Oreochromis niloticus: one gene and its partners. The protein of the gene in region 1 purifies or fractionates together with the protein of each later gene. This does not show direct contact. Links are inferred from orthologs where the notes say so. Each region holds a gene or a part of one and is shown in the gene's direction. Other genes may lie near its edges.

The links. Proteins that work in one complex are often made in the same cells at the same time.
Region 2: the proteins of nedd1 (region 1) and cct3 purify together in Homo sapiens (affinity purification with mass spectrometry; 3 studies listed by BioGRID and IntAct, with this or other methods). This does not show direct contact. The link is inferred for Oreochromis niloticus from reciprocal best matches to the Homo sapiens genes NEDD1 and CCT3.
Region 3: the proteins of nedd1 (region 1) and mzt2b purify together in Homo sapiens (affinity purification with mass spectrometry; 3 studies listed by BioGRID and IntAct, with this or other methods). This does not show direct contact. The link is inferred for Oreochromis niloticus from reciprocal best matches to the Homo sapiens genes NEDD1 and MZT2B.

The regions. Positions count from the first base shown.
Region 1 is NC_031972.2:348,439-356,616, forward strand, and holds the start of nedd1 (protein NEDD1), read left to right. Parts: upstream 1-5,017; 5' UTR 5,018-5,153; intron 5,154-6,298; 5' UTR 6,299-6,306; coding exon 6,307-6,442; intron 6,443-6,808; coding exon 6,809-6,903; intron 6,904-7,228; coding exon 7,229-7,345; intron 7,346-7,423; coding exon 7,424-7,564; intron 7,565-7,935; coding exon 7,936-8,165; intron 8,166-8,178. UniProt on the Homo sapiens protein: Required for mitosis progression. Promotes the nucleation of microtubules from the spindle.
Region 2 is NC_031985.2:35,959,062-35,966,777, forward strand, and holds the start of cct3 (T-complex protein 1 subunit gamma), read left to right. Parts: upstream 1-4,489; 5' UTR 4,490-4,618; coding exon 4,619-4,646; intron 4,647-5,171; coding exon 5,172-5,233; intron 5,234-7,716. UniProt on the Homo sapiens protein: Component of the chaperonin-containing T-complex (TRiC), a molecular chaperone complex that assists the folding of actin, tubulin and other proteins upon ATP hydrolysis.
Region 3 is NC_031972.2:12,028,377-12,036,135, forward strand, and holds the start of mzt2b (mitotic-spindle organizing protein 2), read left to right. Parts: upstream 1-4,532; 5' UTR 4,533-4,686; coding exon of another isoform or gene 4,687-4,689; intron 4,690-4,903; 5' UTR 4,904-4,913; coding exon 4,914-5,089; intron 5,090-5,179; coding exon 5,180-5,340; intron 5,341-6,675; coding exon 6,676-6,813; intron 6,814-7,759. UniProt on the Homo sapiens protein: Required for the recruitment and the assembly of the gamma-tubulin ring complex (gTuRC) at the centrosome.

The DNA.
Region 1 (8,178 bases):
ACACAAAAATAAATACAAGATCTGAGTCAGTGCTACGCTGTACATGTAATACCACTTTGAACCACACAGCGGAGCAGCGAGTCCAACATGTCTCCGTTTGATGTCGCTCAGTTTGTGGAAAAGTTTCCATCAGTCTGAGTTTGTGAGCTTGGCTTTAATAAACCCACACATTCATTCAGAGGTTTTCTTTACAGGAGACAGTACAGTTTATTCAGCAAAGCTTTTACAAAAAGCAATTGACCTTTGACCTTTTGTCAGGAAAGATTACTTCACAACCCACTGGGACCTCAAATGAATCCTTTCATTATTACTTTCCAACTCAGGTTTAAAGTTTTTTTAAAAACATGTCAGAGCCGCTCCTGTAAAACAGAAAGTTTGTAATGAGCTTAGTGTAGACTGATCTATACAGTTTATTTTCTACTTTTGGCTCTGGATGATGTCACAGAAAAGGGTCCAATCAGAAAAAGAAAGCTTAAAAAAAAAGCCTAAGGTGGGAGGAGCTAAATTGTCTCCTTTTCTGAGGGGAAGGTATGTGATACAGGAGGATTATTCTTAACTGTGAATCATGCTAAGCTGCTCTGATGGAGCAGAATAATTCCTGACCATCTGTCCTGTTTTGATATTTTCTGGTGTGTTTCAGGGCCTGGGAGACTTCAGTGTCCACTCTGTGGAGCTGGACAGGGACGGACTCACATTCCTGGCGTCGTTAACCTGAGAACACTGATTGTACCTTGGCTTCAATCACAAAAATGAACGAACATTGATGACAAAGATGATTCTGACAAACAGAGGAGCTGTGTTTAAACATTATACAATTGGTGTTCTGGTTTTGTAGGAATCTGATTTTATTAATCAAACTGATTTCTCAGGAGCATTGATCTGTAACTCAACAGAATAAATAAAGCCCAGTTTTGGACGTTTGAGTCCGTGCCCACAAACTCATCCAGAGACGGCCATGTTTGTTCCTCAGTTTTTTTTCAGTCAAGTTTTATTAGTAAAAAAGATGAAATCCAAATGATCTCAAACAGACATTCTGTAGGTAAAACAAAATTTGAACTATACAGTGTGAATTGAGCAGAATTTATATACAGATGTACATCAGCAGTCAGACGGACTGATCCAGGCTTCAGTCATCGTCCTCCTCATCCTCGGCGGGCAGCGGCCGGGCTCTGCGGACGACAAAAACCAAACTGATCAACATTGGCATCAAACTTCCCACAGGACGCTGGAACATAAATGCCACGTCCCGAATAAATTAAAATCTGTCATTCAGTCGAGTGGTGTCAGCAGCGAGTTTGAGGCCTCTCCTCGGATTTTAGCATCATCCATGCAACAGTCAGTCTCTGCTGTCTCACTATTGATCGATTTAAAACAATTTAATGCCAGTTTTCAACTTTTAAAGACTTTCCGGACCTACAAGGAGCTGCAGATTAATCCAGACGGGTGAGCGTCTGAAGCTATAAAAGCAAAGATTTAAGGAGGAAAATAAATGATCTGATTATCGTCAGCCGCTGTATTTGAGGTGTTTTTGGGACCCCCCCCCCAAAAAAAAAAAAAAAAAAAAAAAAAATCAGCTGAGAAGCATGGCTACCGGTGTTCCTAAGAAACTGGACTTTGAGTCATTGAGCAGGTCTGCGGTTTCTTGGTGCAGCTTGATGCTGATTGGTTTAACTCAATGACCATGAGGGAATATAATTTTTAAAACAAACCCTGCAGAGTGAAAACACTTTCGTTTTTCCAAAATAAAAGCATCTGTGTTTTTACATTTGATTGCTGCAGACTCTGCTGAAGGTTTCCGGTGAACCCTCAGAAACAACTCTGATGGGTGAGACACTCCTGATCAGTAAGATGTGATCGTATAAAGCTTCACAGCGATCCAAACTCTGGATCAAGCCATTTGGTTAAGGGAAAGCATCAGCTCCCGTCTTTACCGGCCTCCGTTTCTTGCAGCATTCATTCAAACGTTTTCCCCGCTAAGACGAGTCCCCGTCATTTCACCCAGAACGCAGCTTCCTGTCATTTCTGACCCTCAGATCAGATTTGTATCAAACTGCTGCTGCTTTTCTTTTAAGTAACCCACCACAAAGTGCTATAAGTTTCACTTTTATAAGGACGACTTGCTTGTAATTAGAAACAGCTGCTTTCTTTAGTTCTGTTTAAACGGACCCAACAGGTTCACTGCAGTTAATGCTACATTTTAAATTGTTCCATGCTGGAGCTGAACTCAACACCTGACATGGTTCATTTATTACCTTCTCAGGTGTTATAGTGGATCAAACTACCCCGGCCCATGTATCACAGCAGCAGGCTCAGCTCCACACTGAAAATACCGGAGGTGAAACTAACGGCTCGTCACACAGCAGCAAACCTCCACTGAGCTTCATCTCTCACTTTGTGGGATCTGGATTTCTGCGGGAAATCCTAAAACTAAAATGACATCTCAGGGTTGATGCAGCTCGTGGCGACTTGAGTGGTTGGTGGATGGCTGCCGCGTGGGGTTAAAAGGAGGTTACGGTTACACCGTGAGGTGGGACGCAGATTTCCTGCAGAAGTTTAAAATAAAGCACAACACATACTTCCTGCTGGCCTTTGACATCCCACTGCCTCCAGCCTCTTCATCGTCCTCCACCTCCTGGGGCCGCCTGTTCTCCTTCTCCATCTTCCTGGGGGACCGCCAAAAAAGTCCCCGATGCCCTTCTGCCAGGTCGGGGTGGGACGAGGACACACGGGGTTCCCGCCGGCATATTTGTTCTTTGCTGTAAGTTACAACAATCACAGCAGCCTCAGTACGTGAACTGTGTGTGTGTGTGTGTGTGCGCGCGCGTAGTGAAACTGGGACTGACCAGGTGTGGAGGACTGGCTGTTGGAGGTGGCGTTGGATGAACTGGCACCCAGAGACTTCCGGGGGGCAGAAGCTGCAACAGCTGCAAATGAAATACATGAAACCAGCTTATTATGAAGGATCCAGTGAGAAACCAGAAGAAGTTTACCGAGGACCAAAGCTGAGCCAAATGAACGTAAAGAGACTAAAGTCTGATTTGCAGAATGTTAAATAAAAGTTCAAAGAAAGCTTGTTAAAAATAGCTGCAGAGTGAATGAGAGCAGTTCACTGCTATTTAAACCGGGTCTTTAAGGAAGCAGAGCAGATTTAAATTTTAATTCTTATCCGTTTGGTGTTGGAAAAATGTAAGCCAAATTTACCAGAAGGTCCCAGAACTTAATAAACATGCATCCATTATGGACAGTAACACGCGTGGCTTCTATGTTAAACAGAGACGCGTTAATTATGTAATATGTGAATGGACTTTTGTGAGGCGTGCGCACAAAGACGCACCGCGGCGCTCAAAACTGGCGCCAGTTTGCAGTAAACGTCGTACAAACTTTGGGAAAGGATCATTAAAGATGACACCTCGTGAGATGAATGAGAACATTAAGCTAGAACTTTTGACTCAGATGATAAAACGACAATTAAATGTTTTAACTTAAATATCTTGGCCTCTCCCGGAGAACCCGAGAGGGCAGCAGACCAGCCTCCGTGTTGGCGGGAGGCTGATTTTAGGAAGCCGTGCGGTGGATATACACAAACTTCAGCTGACAGTTTTCTTTTAATTATTTTACTGTAAAAATATAAATGTAATATGTTAACTACTCTTCTTCGAGGCCACATTTGTATGATTTTACCAGCTTTGGCTCAGCGCCGCCTGCCCGCCAGACTACATTACAAAACGTGTTCTTGTACAAACAAGCTGTAAAAACCTAAATTCTGATTAAATGCCTTTAATTTGTTGCCGTACCTTTTCTGTATGAACCGGGCACACTATCGGCTTTTGTCCTCACCATGTTGGCAGCGGGTTTTACAGTAAGTCGACACTCCTGCCTGAAATCCACGGACCACAGTGAACCGAGCACCGTCCCGCCTCGGTTTAAAACCAACAGGCGGATGGGGCGGGAGACTTCTTCTTCTCTCGCTTCTATAGTGGTAGACTCCACGAATAGCTGGAACACAAGTCTGTCCCTCATAGGTGAACGTGTGTAACTGCAGATTCACGGTATGGAAGACTGTTTAAGCCACTGGAAGAAAAATAACGAAACAAAACATTTTCTTGGTATTAAGAAGTGAAAAGTTTGGGTTATCGGGCTATTATCACAACATTTTAAGTTATGTATCTTCAAATTGCAACTTACTAACTCAAACTTCTGAGAAACTAACTAGTTAACAACTTGACAGTTTGAATGAAGTGAAAACTTTGAGATTTTTCGAGATTTTTTTCATATATAAATGAGTGATTTTTATAGGTTGTGTTTACACAATAAATTACAATGTTTTTAGGAAATAAATTACCATGAAATACGTTAAAGATTTCATGATAGTAATACAATTATGGGGTATTATATTGCAGAAACGTCTTGAATACACTATTCTTTTTTTCTTAGCTGAATTTGAAATATTTTGCATATGAAGCCAGTTTATCAAATTACATTTGTAGTTTGTTTTACTTGAATAATTTATTTTAGTATATAATTTTTTACTAATATTTTGTTTTTATTTTTACTGTACTCCTTTCAAATGTTTCTGTATTTTCTGCTTTTTTAAAATTCAATTTAAAATTTCTATATATCTTTTAATTTTTTCAAGCTCCTTTTTGTGTTTTTTTTTTTTTTTTTTTAACATTTTCTATATATATGGTTTGATCATATTGAATTTTATTTGAGCGACTTTTTATCGGCCTTGTTTAAACAATAAATTATAAAATAAATACAAAAAAAATACAATAAACTATAAGGGTATCAGTAATTAAAATAATTCGAAAATACTTTAAGAATTTCATAATTATACTATAATTATGCGGTAGAAACCTATATTTACTAAACTTCTGTTTTATTTTTCTTCATAAAGCCACGTTTTTATATGCCTCTTTTCTTCATATAAAATATAACAATAATTAAATATTTTATTCAGTGTTTTTCTTTAATTGTTGCTTTGATATTGTATATTTAGTACATTTCGATTAGACTTCAATACAAACAGAGGAAGTACGATCCCGTTTCCGCCGTTTGTCCCTCCTGGTGCTCCGTAGTGGCGGTTCATTGGCCACGGCCGCGTCCAAAACAAAGTCAGTTTCGACTTTTCGGTGATTAAAAACTGTTTCTGGGTAAGTATGGCTAATCTTACAGACTCTGAGGGTCAGGTGAAGACATTCCCGGTAGTTTCCGCTCGCCTCGCGACAATTTGTTAACTTTAAAGCTGCCGAGCTATTCGCCGGTTAGCATGAGCTACCTGTAGCTGCAGGTTCAAGTTAACGGAACAAAGTCGATAAAGTTTCTGTTTGATGGACCAAAAACAGCTTGCGAGCCGTTAAAAGTCCTCACAGGCGTCAGACTCAGTTTCACGTGTCCGTCTGCCTTCAGACTACAATAGAGACCCCCCAAAAACGACGAACATCCGATAGAAGGTTTCACAGAAATACTTCAGCACTGTGTACTTTTACTGCCCGATACGAGTTACTGCACCAGCTTTTCATCTCTACCTCGTTTACATTCATATAACACTGTTTAAAACCAGGTTTCAGAGCGCTGAACAGTAAAGAAAATAAACTCAATCGAAAATAAATTAAATAGAATCTAGTTAGATACTAGTTAGCTAATAGATACAAGTTTATTTTTTGGCTTTGTTGGTTTATAAAAGCCAAAAAGTAAAACAAAAACAGAGATTTTACAGCTTGACCACCAACGAGGTGTCGCTGGAAGGTCTCAGGCAGAGCTCGAGGAGTCTTTAAAAACCAACAAGAAGATCATAAAATCTGTCCTTAAACTACTGCTTGGATCTTACTGAGGTGACATGTAAGGCAGCCATGTTTTTATATAATATTCAACAAATTAAAATCTCTTTATTAATCTGAGTATCTTTCAGCAAAAGGACCTGCACTTATATCAAATACTGATTAATATATAAAAAGAGGCCTGGGGGATATTCATGAAGTATAAATTCATGAAGCCTCTGTCAGTGCGCCCCAGGGTGGCTGTGGCTACAATGTAGCTTGCCATCACCAGTGTGTGAATGGGTGACTGAATGTAGTGTAAAGTGCTTTGGGGTCCTTAGGGACTAGAAAAGCGCTATATAAATACAGGCCATTTACCATTTCCCTTCTATAGTCATGTAGTTCTGATCAGTGCTTTAATGGAAAACTATATAATTATGTTGTTTGTGCAAGTTTAACAAAATAAATAATGAGCTGTAAAACTAACAGTGACGGTCTGCAAGGATACAACTCTCTGTGCATGTGTTTATTTTCTCCAGTTGTTGCCATGGAGGAGGTGACACGGCTGGTGTCGACCGGAGACTGCGTGAAGATCTGGGATGCGGTTTCCATGGCGCCGCTGGAGCAGTTTAACCCACACAGCACAAGCCACCCTGTCGCTCAGGCCTGCTGGAGCTCCAACAGTATCCTGCTGTCACTAAATCACCACAGACTGGATATGAAAGATGGAAACCTGCGGTCTTTGTCATGTCCAACAGGGGGCGACTCCTCTATCTGATTGTATACATGTCTTTGGTCACCCTGAGCTCAGTAAGCACTTCCTGATGAGTTTTTGATCTATGTCGGCGGTTTAATTTCAAGGGGCAGCCGATCACGATAAAAATGTCTTAAAGGGGGCAGAGCTAAAGCAGCTTCTTTCAGACAGGTCATGAACAGTATGAGACAAAGAAAGCTTATTTTAAACTGCGAATCATGCAGACCTGCCCTGCCAGAGTGAGCAGCATAAATCACCTTTAGATCTGTGATTCAGCCTTGACCAGTTCTCTCAGACCAGTACCTGGTCAGTGCCAGCAGCAGCGGGGACAAGCTGGTCGTTTCCAGCCTCAAGTCGACTCCTGTGCCGGTGGTGGAGCTGGCCGACGGGGTGAGTCTCAGCTCTGCTCGTTTTCATGGCGGTTCAAAGACTGCAGAGGGATAAAAGAAGAATAAAGCCTGAGACTTTATTGTTTGTCTCTGGGTCCAAATTCTCCTTCAGTTCCCAAAACCAAAACACTGAGCTTTAGAAATATGATACCAGCTGTTCTCCCAGGTGTTTTAGTGAAGTTTAGGTTCCAGGAAAAAGCGGGAAACTAAAGATTTTACTTATGCTGTGTAGTTTTAGAAAGCCGAGTCAGTCTGGTAAGTATCTCACTGAGAGCTCTTCGGTCTCTGTAAAGTGTAACGGTGCTGGTTTGTACCTGTGTGTTCAGAAAAAGCAGACCCGGGTGTGTCTGAGCTCCTCGTCTCAGTTTCTGGTCAGCGGAGGTCTCGATCACTGCGTGCACATCTGGGACCTGAAGACCAAGAGACTGCACCGCTCCCTCAAGGTAGGACTTCACTCCACCTCCGGCTTCCTTTACCTCTGAGGCACAGAGCGGGATAAATATGGCCTCCTTTTCTCTTAGGACCATAAGGAGGAGGTGACTTGCGTATCCTTTAATGCCAACGACAGCTACGTTGCCTCCGGCTCCACCAGCGGCGACCTGGTCCTCCACAGTCTGACCACCAACCTGTCCAGCAGGCCGTTCGGCCACGGCAGCAACCAGGTCAGACCTCCACTTTCATATTGTTTGTTTAAGATTTTCTTTGAAGCTGTTCATGTGCAGCTGCTCAGGTGAGTCAGACAGGTGAGCTGTGAGTTGATGATATGACTGTAGTGAAGGAGGACGAGCAGGGACTAGCCAAAAGGTGGAGGTGTGCTTTCAGTTTATTTACCTTACCTTATGAAGTTATATACAGTTTTTAATAAAAGAACAACTCTGCAGGCTCAGAGTTAACCAGAGAGCGGAGGAGGGGCTCAGTTTTTATGCTTCACTCTGTTCAGAAGCGAAGTAAAAGTCCGTGTATATAAAAACTGTAACTAAAAGACAGCAGAGGAATGTTTGATATTGCTGCTTGATAATCTGTTGATCTCCAGCCCATCCACGACCTGAGGTTGTCCACAGTGAAGCGCTCCCTGCTGGGCAGCGTGTCTGACAGCGGCACGGTGGTACTGTGGGACTCCAACACCCAGAAGGAGCTGCACATGTTCGACGGCGCCCACAAAGCCCCAGGCTCCGGCCTGGCCTTCTCGCCCACCAGCGACCTGCTGGTGGTCAGCGTCGGCCTGGACAAGAAGATCGTCTGCTACGACACCGCCAGCAAGATGTGAGTCTGATCG
Region 2 (7,716 bases), on another chromosome or scaffold:
AATGGAAGCCAGATTGAAACTGTTCAATTTTTCAGTTTTATTTATATAGCGCCAAATCACAACAACAGTCAACTCAAGGCACTTTATATTGTAAGGTAGACTCTACAATAATACAGAGAAAAACCCAACAATTAAATGACCCCCTATGAGCAAGCACTTTGGCAACAGTGGGAAGGAAAAACTTTTAACAGAAAGAAACCTCAGGCAGCACCAGGCTCAGGGAGGGGCGGCCATCTGCAGCAACCGGTTGGGGTGTAAAAAGGAAAACATGATAAAAGACATGCAGTGGAAGAGAGACAGAGATTAACAACAGGTATGATTCAATGCAGAGAGGTCTATTAACACATAGTGAGTGAAAAAGGTGCCTGAAGAAGAAATAATGCATCATGGAAATCCCTCTCCAGCCTACATCTAGTAATAATTCAGGGTCACCTGATCCAGCCCTAACTATATGCTTTAGCAAAAAGGAAAGTGTAATGTTAAATGTAGAGCTCGTGTCTGTCTCCAGAATCCAAACTGGAAACTGGTTCCACAGAAGAGGAGCCTGACAGCTACTTTTAAATATTTTAGGAACAACAAGTAAGCCTGCAGTGCGAGAGTGAAGTGCTCTCATGGGGTGATATGGTACTACGTGGTCATTAAGATAAGATGGGGTCTGATTATTTAAGACCTTGAATGTGAGCAGTAGGATTTTGAATTCAATTCTGGATTAAACAAGAGCCAGTGAAAGGAAGCCAATATAGGAGAAATATGCTCTCTCTTTCTAGTTCCTGTCAGTACTCTTGCTGTAGCATTTTGGATTAACTGAAGGTTTTTCAGGGAGTTTTTAGAATAGCCTGATAATAATGAATTACAGTAGACCAGCCTAGAAGTAATAAATGCATGAACTAGTTTTTCAGGATCACTCTGAGACAGGATTTTTCTAACTTTAGAAATATTACACAGGAAATACGAAAGAAAGCAGTCCAACATATTTGTTTAATATTGTATTGAAGGACGTATCCTGGTCAAAAATGACTCCAAGGTTCCTCACAGTGTTACTGGAGGCCAAGGTAATGCCACCCAGAGTAAGAATCTGGTTAGATGCCATATTTCTGAGATTTTCAGGGCCGAGTACCATAACCTCAGTTTTATCTGAATTTAGAAGCAGAAAATCAGAGGTCATCCAGGTCTTTATGTCTTTAAAACATTCCTGCAGTTCAACTAATTGGTGTGTGATATCTGGCCTCATGGATAGATAAAGTTGGGTGTCATCTGCATAGCAGTGAAAATGTATGCTATCCCTTCTGATAGATGACCCAGCTGTCTCAGTAACAACTCCAATTTGAATCTGACTGGATGAGCCGTTGTCAAAGCTCTGGACTTTCAACACTCTGTGGGGCCGGTTCTGCTTCCTCAGACTCCCATTTGGGATAAAATCTGCCCGTTAGGGTTTACACATCATAGCTGATGACATAATAATTGCAGCATCATCAGAACAGGAACATGACGAAATCCTGCAACGCCGCGACTTACAGGGCGCTGTTTGTAAACTGAAACAAAAAAACCCTGAAATTAACTGCAACGTTTTTCCACATTTAGCTCCAAACCTTATTAAAAAAAATTCGAGTCACTTTTTCGGACATTTATGAAAATATTTGTAACTTTTTATATTTAAAACTAAATGTTAAATCTAAATGTTTACGGGAAACTAAATATTGATCTTTTTATCTATTTGTATAGCATTTTGGACGAGTTAATGGCAGTGTTAGCTAGACAAGCATAGCTAAATTATTTAGCTAGTCCTCACTTATATATTTATTTGGTAGGTAACAGTCCTTGATGTAAATATTTCCTTAGGAATCCAGCACTGCACCTGGACCAACTAGACCTGCCGTCTCCACTGGGATATCATACTGCTCGGTAGGCTTTCTTACACGTGTAATTTAGCTGGCTGCTTTTTGTAAATGGTAAATTTGAATGGTTTTTACATACAGTCAAATATTTGTATAGAGAAAGCTTTTCTATTTTTGGTTCTGTACTAAATGGAACAACTCAGATACAGTTGAACTGCAGATTTTCAGCTTTAATTCAGTGGGTTGGACAAAAAGATTGCATAAAAATGTGATGAATTAAATTATTTTTTAACACTATCCCTTCATTTGAGGGGCTCAAAAGTATGTGAACAAATTAAATAAGTTAAAGTAAAATGTAAATTTTTAATTTTGCTGGCAACTTTTGTTTGCCTTTTGAACTCATGGACATCATTAGATGCCGGGTTTCCTCCTTTTTAATGATCTGCCTAGCCTTTACTGCACCAGCTTTCAGTTGCTGTTTGTTTGTGGGCCTGTGGCCTAAGTTTAGTTTTCAATGAGTGAAATGCATGCTCAATCAAGTAACAGACTTGATCATTCCTCTTTTTTCGCATTCGACTTGTTTGCTTTAATAAACTCCTGGGTTGCTATGGCTGTATGTTTTGGGTCATTGTCCATCTGTATTATGAACTGAGGCCCAATCAATTTGACTGCATTTAGCTGGACAAGCAGTATGTCTCTGAACACCTCAGAATTCATTCAGCTGCTTCTGTCTTTTGTCACATCATCAGTAAGTCTTATGAGTGGCTTGCACCTTGCAGTGAACCCTCTGTATTTACTTTCATGCAGTCTTCTCTTTATGGTAGACTTGGATATCGATATGCCTACCTCCTGGAGAGTGTTGTTACACTTGGTTGACTGTTGTGATGGGTTCTCTCTTCACCATTGAAATGATCTTGCAATCATCCACCACTGTTGTCTTGCTTGGACACCCAGGTCTTTTTGCATTGCTGAGTTCATCTGTCCTTTTTTCCTTTCTCAGGATTTACCAAACTGTAGATTTTGCCACTTCTAACATTGTAGCAATTTCTCAGATGGGTTTTTCTGTTCTGTTCTCTTTGACCGCATGTTGTCTGTTCGCAATAAAATTTTCCAAATGCAAGCACAACACCTCAAATCAAATCCAGGCTTTTTGTCTAATTAATTGATAATGATATAGCGAAGAAATTGTCCATACCTGCCTATGAATAGCCTTTGAGTCACTTGTCCATTAACGTTTGGTCCCTTCAAAAAGAGGGTGCCACATATTAAGAAGAAGAAACTCCTAAACCCTTCATCCACTTTGAATATGGATACCCTAAATTAAAGCTAAGTCTACATGTCATTTCTATAATATGACTATAATTAGAATATGTTTCAGTAAACAGGTAACAAAACAAAAGTTGTCAGTGTCAAAATATAAATGAACCTAACTGTAGGCCTTTTCTTCTCTGAATCCTCAAAGCACTTTATACAGCAGATCACATTACCCCATTAATACAAGCGCCCTTTCAATCCAGCATTCATATACAGTCACACACAGATAAACCCATTGGGAGCTGTAGATTAGAGCACCCGGGGATCGAATCACCAACTTTCCACTTAATAGACAACCTGCTCTAGGAATAGCCACCCCACAAGTTATGAGGTGTAATGCCTCCTTTAATTATCAGTCATCAGTCTTAAGGACATCACTAGTATCCTAGGGTTGAGGTCACAATTTTAAAAGTTTGTTAAAAATATACTGCTGTGAATGCTTGTATATACTCTTGTAAATCGCAGTCATTTCATCGGACAAACCCACTTTGAGAGAATGACAAGGTGGGTATGGAGACCTGTGCTGGAGAAGGTTTTGGGTTTCAAAGATGAAACTGCAGTAAAGAGCGCATTCAGAGTATCTGACATCAAACATCAACATCCTGCTGTATCCATCTATTGCACCATGAAAAACAAACTTCCAACGAATCAGCTTGTGATTTCCATCTTATATGTCATATGAAATTTGGATGAGGCACGGAATATACTCGCCAAGCATTTGCAGTTCTTCTGGATAGAACACCAGCCTAGTCCACGCCCCCGTAGTGACTCTCTTACACGCCATCTTTGAACCACTATATTTTTGGAATACAGGTGTCCCATCAGCATCATTTCTCCAAGAGTTGGATGTTCCGTTTTTATCTGAGACACTATCTGATGATTTAAATATAATATTTAGATGTAACATTTACATTTAATTATAGTATTTAGATTAAATATAGTTTGAAATATAAAAAGTTTGAAATATAAAAAGTTACAAATATTTTCGTAAATGTTGTGAAAAGTGACTCGAAAAAAATATTTTCATAAGGTTTGGAGCTAAATGTGGAAAACTGTTGCCGCTAATTTCAGCATTTTTCAGTTTACAAACGGAAAGGGTTAGAAAAAACTCTGAGACGCCCATGCTCCTGAGCATAAATTGTTTCTTTAAATAAAGCAAAAATTGCAATTTAAGAAGTTCATCCAAAACTGTGAATTCTGTTGGTGCTTATTGTAGAAGCTGCTCTATTTTCAGCGGAAACAGTTTTTAATACACGGAAATAATATGAAACTAAAGGGCTGATTTTGTCTCCATGAAAGGGCGACCCTTTTGCCTCATTCAGTTTATTGGCGGATCTGCCTATCTGTCACGCAATGTTCTCTCTGATTAGTCGGACCCGGGCTGTTTGCCCGCCCTTGTGGGTGGAGCCTTCCTCTCTCCTCGTGCCACCCAGAAGCTTCCAGGCTGTTGTCCGGCACGCGCTGTGAAAATGATCGGCCAGCAGGTTTTAGTGCTCAGTGAGTATTCTTATTTTCTTCCAAAGCCTTTACAAAACCACGGACAACCGTACTCAGGCCGTCCGCGGCCGCCTTCGATCCGCTAGCAACCCGGAGACGCACCAAGCAAAGCGCGGTCGTTAGCATGTTAGCCCGGTTAGCAGATGGATGCTAGGCTAACTTAAGCTAACCCGTTACTCAGCATGAACACGGAGCTAGCAGGCTAACGGTTCCTTTGAGGCTAAAATCAGGCGTTCATGTGATGTGATGGGGTGAAGGTGGAATCCTCCACCTGTGTTAGTGTGAACTCAGTTATTGATTATGTCATTAGGAACATGTCACTGTGTTTCTGATCATTATGGTTGATCCAGAGAGAAGACTCATAATCAGTACTGATTAGTATGAGAGTCAGGGTTTATCGTTTTCTTGTTCAGACGAAACATCTGCTTATTGAAAACGCATCATCACTGTACAAATAAGAATAACGAGTAAAAGCACTGCGTGTATGCGGACAGTAACTTCCTGTGTGTGTTTGTGTCTCCGCAGACCAGAACGTGAAGAGAGAGTCTGGACGTAAAGTCCAGACCGGGAACATCAATGCAGCAAAGGTGAGTTTGTTCTACAAGGCTCCGCTCACTTTCTTCTGTGCCCTTTAGGTCACAAACTGAATAACCTGCTTTGTGATCAGTGGCGGTCCTAGCCTGTTTGGTGCCCTGGGCGAACACTCCCTCTGGCGCACACACACACACACACACAAAACATATTAAGGATTGTACATTAACATAAAACTGTTGTCGGAACCATACTGAATTTCACCAGAGAAACATACACACACACACACACATATATGAAGAGAGAGTATGCATAGTATGCAAACGGCTACCGGACAGCCATCATAATTCGTCATACAATGAGAACAGGACAAATCTACAACTGACACTGACTAATTAATATTAAAATCTGTAACATAATGTATTGTTTGGAGTTTAGTCTGTTACTGTTACTATTTTTACCATTTCTTCATGGAGCAACTGTAACCTACATAATTTCCTTAGGGATTAATAAAGTATGATTCTGATTCTGATTGTTTCAGGATACATGACCTGCCATTATCCAATGACACATCTGCTTACCTGTATATTTTGCTCATTTCTCCTCCTCTTTTCTCTTTTTTCTAAACTGAGGACCTGATGGCTTTGAACTTTTCTTGTCCATCTTGGTTTTAATTTTGCACTCCAGTATGAACACCCATCCCCCAACCCGAGAATCATAACCTAATAGACCTACACCTTATTTCACAGATTCGCTTTGTCTAGGGTTTATTTCTGGGATTTCGCACAACCCAGGATTCAAATCATGAATACATAATGGGCTTGGATTTACAACATTATCAATGAAATGTGCTCTATTTGGAAGCAGCCGGCCCCCCTCCCCTTTCGACGGGTTGCGTGTGAGACTTTAAATCATCAAACTGTAAATTATAAATTTTAAATTGTTATTGATCACTTTACCCCTAATCCTAAAGTGTATATTTATTTTCTTGCTCTTCTTATATTTATTGTTTGTTTACTTGCACTGTTGTAACTGGAGCCTCGTCGTCTTGTCTCTCTATATACTGTACTGTATATAGCGGAGATGACAATAAAGTTTACTTTGACTTCAGCAGCAAGCAGGCGCACCGAGGGCTCTAGCGCTCACTTTTTGCGTATAGAATTTCGAAAAAACATCGGTGCAAATTATAAGTCTGTATCATAATGTCTGGTGTTTTTGTGTTTGTTGGTTTGTTTTTATTTTGTTTTATTTTGCGAGTTATTAGATGCTGCGCCAGCCAGAGAATCCCCGCCGCCCCGCCCTCTCCTCCCTGTGCCGCAAGCAGCAGGCGCACCTCGCAAACGGAGGGCGCCCTTACTCCCAGCAAATGGGCGATAGAAAACCGATTGGTGCCTACGACATTCCCAAAATGCGCATGATGTCGGGGCAGCATGAGTACGAGCAAATTTTTTTTTTTTTTTTTTGCCGATGCCCGTGATGCTGTCCCCCACCACTATGCCGCCCCGGGCAACCACCCGTGTTGCCCGTATCAAAAACCGCTACTGTTTGTGATCCAGGCGATGTGTTGGTGCTTTGCACAGTGGTCCCCGAGCCACTGCTGACATATATCTTGCCTATCAAATTTGTTACCGTGGTAACTGACATATCCAATCTGGCAGGTGCTCCAGCTGTTGGTTGTAGTCCGTCTTGGCCTGCTCCTTGTCTTGTAGGAGCTGGACTGGGTAAAAAAAAAAATAGAATCATGACCGGATCGCTCTCCTAGCGCAATGAGCTTCCTAATGAGCTTCACACTGTCCTTAAACTTATTGGTTAGTTACTTAATAAGCAGCTGTGTGCGGACGCACTCAGTTGTTTAAACTATTTGATTGTATACATTTGTAAGATTTAATCCAATGAGCACTGAACTTTAACAAAGACCTGTTCTTTTTTCTTCTCCTGAATATTTTATATTACTAATCAATAGGATGAAAGCGTTTATTTGTTACTGAGCAATTAATAGAATACTCAGTTGCTAAAATAATGAATCGGTACAACTCAAGTGTTTATGATTTAGTCATTGAATTTATACATATTTTTCCTTTTAAATGAAGAAGATTAAAATTCAAAGAAGATAAAAAGGTGTTTTAATTTCTGTGTGTTAGCTTTCTGTTTAGAAGCTGCTAGCAAAGTTTAGCCAGGGGGGGCCGATATGGCATTAACAGGAAAAGGGGGGGCACAAAGACATACTTTTCTTTCTTATTCTCATTTAAAATGTCTAGCTTTTAATAAATAATTATCCGAATCTTACACCGAAAGTTTTAATCTGATGTAAAATGTCTAGAAGTCCATTACTGTATAACTGTAACTGTAGACTTAACTGTGTAACTGTTAAGTCTAATATACCCTAGTAAGCTATAGTACTTTTTCCTTTGGGGAAGGTCCCTATTTTTTTTTTTTTTTTTTGCTGGGAGTTTTAGAACCCTATTAGTTAGGTTGCTTACTCTTTAAAATACCAGAATAGGGAGGATGGAGTAGGTTTAAGTTTATTAGATTGATCAGT
Region 3 (7,759 bases), about 12 Mb from region 1:
CACCACAAATCAATCCCTCACATCACTGATGAAACTTCCTCTTCTCTTCATTACATGTGTTTCATTTAAACCCTACACATGTTTTGGTTTCTGTCACTTCTGCAGCTGTTCAGTCACATCATTGTTGCTGTAAAAATATTTTGTTGTGTTTTATTTAATTTCGGTTGTGTTTTGTGTGTTTTTGCAGTTTTTTATTTTCCATTTGCTGGTGTTTCCTTACATCACAGTACATTTGACCTCTCACTGCCACCACACCCTTGAGTCTGCCTACGAAATTGAGTCAATCTGTAGAGAACTTCTATTGGCTACTCCCTTTAGGGGTCGTCACAGCGACGCCATCTGCCACGTCACTCTACCCTAGCACCCTCCTCTGTCACTTTAACCCTGTCGTCTTTCACTACATCTTTGAGTGTTCTCTGTTAACTTCCTCTTTACCCCCAGCAGACAGCTCCATCTTCAACACTTTTTGTCAAGTATATCCACTATCTCCATAGCTTCATTCAAAAATACTGGTGCCCACCAATGCTAAACCTTTAGACACTGAGCAGATGCATCAATGGATGTATAAGTTTGAAAATCATATGCTATTTTCTGAAAGTTGACAACTGACCTTGCTATTAAAGTTAGTGTCACCAGGATTTAAACTCCCAGAGGTTTTCAGCAGATGCAAATACAGTATTGAATGACTTTTAAAATCCTACATCGCCTCACAAACTTGGGTATCCACACCACCTGCAATCAGCTCTCTGCTGGACCTCAATTTTGCTAATTTCAGTCAGAAAACCTCACCTGTTTTACATTATTTTTAATAAACACCTAATATGAACTCCTGTGCAGTTAAGTCCCCTAACAGACCATGTCCTTGTCCAAATATGGTTACTTCTGGCTCCAATATACCTCTGGCCAAAATACTAGAAGCCAAGGCCTTAAAACTAGACTCTGCAACCCAATGGGCACCGTGACTACATTCGTCTTTTATATACTGTATGTGAACGTCAAAGTGAAATACACACAAAGCCAAGATTTCCCAGCAGAACTGTGCATTTAACTAGATGCTCCAAATTATTCACTTCACCTGTCAGTGGTCCAAGTCACACAAAAGTACTAGTTAAATTCAAGAACATGCTATAAATATCCAAAGCACAGAAAGCACAAAACATACCTTGAGTGTTTAGATAATAGTGTTTCCAGAGGGGTCTGAGCTTGTGCTTCCCACCCACATCCCAGATGGTGAATTTTAGGTTCTTATATTCAACCGTCTCCACATTGAAACCTTGGACAAAGATTAAAAACAAGCTTTAATATAGGATAATATTAAAAAAAAAGACTTGCATTATCCTGACTCTAAAGTAACTCTGTGAACCATTAAACTGCAAGTGCATTCACCAATGGTTGGGATGGGCTGCATGAACTCGTCTTGCTTCAGCTTGAAGAGGATGGTGGTTTTTCCAGCGCCATCGAGCCCCAGAGTCACTACGCGGATCTCCATCTTTGGACCAATGTGGACCCTGTTGTCCTGAAAGGACATTTTCAATGTCATTACTACATTTATAGGAAAACCCAAGGCTTTTCCATTTTTTGTGACATACTTGGTTTACAGAAGCAAATTTCTATGAACAGCGACAGTATGTACCTTAGTGAAGGTGACTGGGATGCCAGCATCCAGCTGAATGTGATCTGCCAGCTCAGTGAACTGGTGTTGCTGCTTCTGAAGCGTCTCCAGCAAACAGTTGATCTCCTGCTTTGCCAGAACAACTCTGCAGTCGTCCTAAAGCACATAAGAAGCAACGCACATCACACCTTTAAAGGCATTACACAAGCATTTCCACAAATCACCACAGCTTTGATCTTAACTGGGGTGAGGAAAAAGAAGGAAACGAGTTCCTAAACTCCTCACATCTCCTACCTGCTGAAGTGTTTTCTCACAGTGCAGGCAGGCGGTGGACACCTGAGACAGCAGGATGGTCATATCCTCCTGCTGCTGCCTCAGCCAGATGAGCCTCTCCCTTACATGTGCATCCACCACGCTCAGCGCCATCTCCTCCTGTCGACACAGGGTCTCGTGCAGATCTGCAAAATAAGCTCGGACGCAGGAGCGGGCGCTCTCTGCTGTGCCGGGGACCTGAAGCACACACGGGAAAGATATAAGTGCCAAAACAGAAGCATGATCATTTGTATTTTATTAAGAAGCCCTTTGTCTTACATGTTCAGTGTGTGCCATGCCTACTCCATCCTCAACTATCTGCTCGCCACCTTCTATCTGCTGCACGATGCCCACCAACTTCCTCGAGTACTCGGACACCTCCTCTGTGAAGGTTCGGATACAGTGGGCCATGTCGAGAATGGATGCACGAATCTGATTGGCTTCAGTCTCAAGAACGGCATGCTGTTAGGGAAAATAGGGCAATATATAACCATATCTTTTTCAGTGACTATATCTAATATGGGAACAAGTTTTTCAGCTACCTTATGGCCCTGGTGCTTGCCATACTCCTTACATACACAGCACATGAGGGGCCCGGACTGACAAGCTTCCTCCAGGCAGACAAACTCGATGGCGTGGACCTGATGCTGTGGACACAGGGTCTTCTCATGGGGCTTATCGGCCAGTGGCACCCGCCGGTGTTTGGCCAGTGTTCGAGTGGAGTGGGTGAGCTGAGAGCACTCGCCACACAGGTGGGTGGCACACACGGTACAGTACATGGAGGCTGTGTGGCTCTCATCCTCATCGCAGCGAATTATACACTAGTTTAAAAAAAGATGGATTGAGGATAAAGCATGCAGAAGGTGTGAAGGTGACACATCTCTTATCAGTAAAATCATAGCTGCCTTACTTCTCCCATGCCTTTCAAGGCATCCTCTGCCATTCCTGACTGGTTAGTCGCTCCATTCTGGAGTCTCTCCAAGAGTTCAAGCAGAGCAAAGTTTTTCTTTAGACCCCAAACTCCAGAGTCCCCTAAGCAAATGTGAAGAAAGCAAACTCACTTTGAAAGGCAAATAATGCCAGCACTGTACAGCTCCATGCCCTCAAAAACAACTTTAGCCTCAACTGGATCACAGATTTCTGCAGCGAGAATAATGTTTTCTGTAATAAACACCCAATTTTTCACAACTTCTGGGTAAAAGTCTTTTGTTTTTAAGGGGCTGGCATGAAGTCAAATTAACAGAAACATGCAGATCACAGGATGTTGTTCTAAGGTTCTTAGTTGGTTTTGATAGCTCTTTTTATGCTCTTGTTTTTAGAAGAATGAGCAGTCTCAGGATTCAGCAACTGAATTTCACTTAATGATTTATATAGCAGGTATTACACATATGTGTCCGCTATATATACAATGCTGGAAAGCGTGATGACATCACTCACCCAGCTCAGTGACCTGCCTGTCAAAGGGGGCAGCGGACCGCTCTGCCATGGAGGGGCAACCGGGTTAGACAGTCATGGCACACCGTGTGGCCGCAGAGCAGAAGACGAGGGACCTTGTCCCCCCTGGAGAGAGAAGACATCCTCACAAACACCACATTCCAGCACCTGCAAATAAACATATACCAGTATTAAAGCACCCGATCACTGGGGCGTACAGATGCTTCTGGGTTACTGCAGAGAGATGCTCTATAAGGTCTCAGACAGAACAATAACTAGTCGGATGCAGTCATCTTGACCCGTAGCGTTACAGTTGAATAACACTTCTGATTTCTACTTTCAGTGATCTTTAAGTGAATGCATTGAAAGCAGTACGAAAAGCAGCTTCTGACACGGTCACACTCTGAGCTGGGCTCCCTCACAGAGGAACTGCAGCAGTGAAGCACAGCTAGCACAGACGCCAACTAGCGACAGAAGACCAGCCAGCTCATCTGCTAGCATGATGCAGGCACAAATACCAGCCATGTCAACGTGCACAAGTCTAAAGGTATAAAGCAGCGCTAAAAAAATGACCGTCTTGTGAAACAGTGTTTACACATGACTCTGTTCCGATTTATAAAATAAAGCTCTGACATCCTCCTGCCAACGACGCCAACGCAGCAGCATTCGCCCAAAATCAAAAGCGTCAGAGGCAAGCCTGATGTCGGTCATTCGCTCAACATAACAAAACAGCCAAACACCAGCGATCGACATGTAGTTTGATCCAAGATTGTAGTGACACCATTACAACCTTAACCGTGCTCCCATTAGCTCCTCTCCCGTGTCGGATACAGGGCTCCATCGTCGCTACGGCGCCCTGCTTGTTTATTCCTGCTGCAGCAGCGGCCATTCTTGGACGACAGCGCAGAGACCCGAGCAGGTTTGAGAGGACAATCCCCAGAAGCACTTCCGGTTTCGTTCTTTTTCGCTCTATTAGCATCTCTACTAGTATAGGCTACCGTGCCTATATATTTCCAGTGACTTATGTTCAATTTACGAAAAAAAACCCTGCCCAAATAAATACCTAAGGGCGTTTGAAAATAGCTGAGTAGCGGCAAGATTTCCCCCTGGAAAGACTTTTTAAATTAATATGGGGTTGTAAAACATGGATTTAAAATCTTAAATGAAGACGTGACGGACAACTGAATAATGTAACTTTTAAAAACCCACTTTTTTCTTGTATTTTATTTTTGCGTGCATTACGTATGAAAGGCAAGACAATGACGTATTTTTGGCGCGTCACGCTTGGCTCAAACAGAAGCAACTGAACGTTGGGCATTGCGCTCTTAATGGTAGGTATATTTTAATTTTGAGGAATCAGGCGTTTGCTGTGTTAATCATTTAGGTCTCATTGTGGTTATATTTTTGATAAATTTTGATATTTTTGATTCGGAGAGGAGGTTCAGTTACGCCGTGTTTCGCCGTGGGCGGGCAACAATCGTTTACGCTGTTTTTCTTTTGGTCATTGCATCTTATTTTACCTTCTTATTTAATCTAACCCCTCAGTTCATTAGTGATGTCTCAACAAGCACAACAAACGATTCCCTCCGCCCCTGACTCCCCTGCGCTGGTTGTCACATCTAACGTGCAGAAATATGCAATAAAGAAGAAGAAAGTCCTCAGCGCCGAAGAAATGGAGCTGTTCGAACTTACTCAGGCTGCAGGAATCACTGTGGATCAGGAAGTTTTTAAGTATGTTTAATAATAATCGGCCTTAACTGTGGTTTACATGGAGGAGAAGACCGTGGTTTTATGTCCTCACCCCCTTCCTCCTCCTCACAGAATCATAGTCGACTTGCTGAAGATGAATGTGGCTCCTCAAGCGGTCTTCCAGACTTTGAAGGCAATGTGTGCAGGACAGAGGGTAGCTGAAAGCTGTGGTGTAGACCCTTCAACTGGCACCCACACCACAAGCATGACCACAGCGCACACAGAAGCCAGAGGTTAGTATCTGAAGAATGGGATGTAATGCAACTGAAAGTATATGTATATTTTTCATTTAAATGTTGAATATCTTTCAGCGCACATAGTCTGGCTTCTTTTAACTAAGAAACATTGCAGAAATCAGGCTGGGAAGTTTTAGTCTCCCCATTTATACTGTCTTATCCTAGTCCGTTCATGTTTTCCCCCTCTGTTGGGTCCTCCTAACCCAACATTGGTCAGTCCAGGATGCAGCAGCCACAAACACTAGCTAGGATTTAGATATCCGTCCCCCCAGATCACAACTGACTGAGGAAAAGTGGGCTGTCATTTGTCACCTACAGTTTAACCCTCTGAAAGTCAGGAAAGTTTAGGATGTGTTTTGCTCTTTTTAATCATTATGGGTTCACTTTTTTTTACGGCAATATAAAACCCTGCACCTTTAAGGAAAGCCAAGGCTAGAAGGAGAAAGAACTCATCACTGTCTTTTGTAAAGTGTAGCATAGTTATGCCACAAATCTTTATTATGTTAACATAAATTATGTATGTAGTGTTTTTTTTAAAATCGATATATAAACTGTTATTGTATAAACTATCAAAATTCCCAGATCTCGGTCTAATCAAACATCTGTGAGATATGATAAGTCCGATCCATGGAGTCCCCACCTCACATCTTAAAGGACTTAAAGGATCTGTTGCTAACCTCTTGGTCCCAGATACCAAAGCACACCTCTAGGGCATCTAGTGGAGTCCATGTGGACCAACACAATATTAGGCAGTTGGTGATAATGTTATGCTTGAGTGGTGTATGAGCTGGTGGGAATGGAGAACATCAAAGGTCCAAGGATTAGGGAACATTAGGGAAGAACACTGGTCAGAGGGGGTCCTGAGACCAACCTACTTTCCAATGCAAACAAGCCCAGTTGTTGGTAACAGTAATTTCTGATAACAAAAAGCGTGTGTGTATGTGGCTACAGATTAGATTTTTGATGCAAAGACTCAGAATTTTAAATTTCTTTTTCTAACAATTTATGTTATATTCTTTCTTTGCTCTTCTCTTTGCTTTTTAAGTGTGTGAAATTATCACGTTCCCCCATTTAAGTTCTGTACACGCTGTAGCAGAGGTTCTGTGCCGCACTCTTCCCTTACCTGACCTCACTAACTAAATCCAATCTTCACTTCACCCCACACAGCACGGTTTTCCACATAAAAGGAGGGTATCTGAAGACAGGCATAGTCATGCAAACTCATCTACAAATCGCTCATCCTCACTGTGTTACAGGTTTTTCTGATTTCCTCTCTATCCCGGTCAGTTCTTTCTTTTCTTTCTTTTTTTCTGTGTGTCTTGTTTCCTGAAGAAGAGGACTCTTTGGCTTCTGGAAAGAGCCCTAAACCTGCCGCAGCTCCCCCCTCAGCAGCAGGCCCCAGAGCCACAAGGGTCAACACTAAGATTGTGGTCTACAGCCCCCAAGACACTAGTTCTCCTCACTCTCAAGGTCCCTTTTGCTGCACTCTCTCCTCCACCTTCATCTGCCCACTTGCTTGCCTTTCTCATTAACAAAAGTTGTATTTATGTGCAATTTGATATGGAGCAGGATTTGGGAAAAAAAAAACTGCATGCTGTGCTTTCTTTATATGTGCATGCATGCGATTGTGTGTGGACCGCAAAAATTGAATTTGCCCTTGGATGTTTTCATACTCAAGGAGATTTATTCACTGTGCAGTGGATTTTTTTCCCTTTGTTTTTAAGTGGCTAGAAAGTTAAAAAAGAAACTCTGAAGTACTTTTTTATTGATTCTTTTACACAAGAGTAGCTTGAATTTACAAGTTAAAAAAAAGAAGTCTTTTATGTTGCTGTGTGGTGATTAACCTGTCACCATATGAGTGGCGGCACAAAAGAAGGGGATCTTGACTTGGTTCATACAATATGCACTTATTGAGTTCTATTTTCAGGATTTCACTAAAGACTTACAGATTAATAATGATAGTCAAGTTTATAGTCTTCTACAGTATAAATGGTCAGAAACTTAAACTTGACAAATAAAGCAGAGAAAAGTGTGCGGGCACCAAGCTTTTTATGACTTTATAAATAACGTATTAAACATTTGACTTGCTAAGAACCCTAACCCTAAGCAACCCCAATGTCTTGATTTTGTATTTGTAAATGGTTACATCAGTTTAGTGATATATAATACAGAACTTTCACTTGAAGAAGCCCTTTCAGAATAAAAATGAATGCTAAAATCTGTGATTTTAGTACAAATGGAGAGTATAAACACTATTGAAATACTTTTTTGTAAAACAAAAACAAAATGAACAATATCACTATCAGCTGGAAAAAAAAATTCCACTTTTTCCTGTATTATTATTTTTGCTAAGGCTTATGGGATATTGCTGTCACTGAGCTGGGTGGGAGGGCAGCGTGGACACTTAAGTATGTGA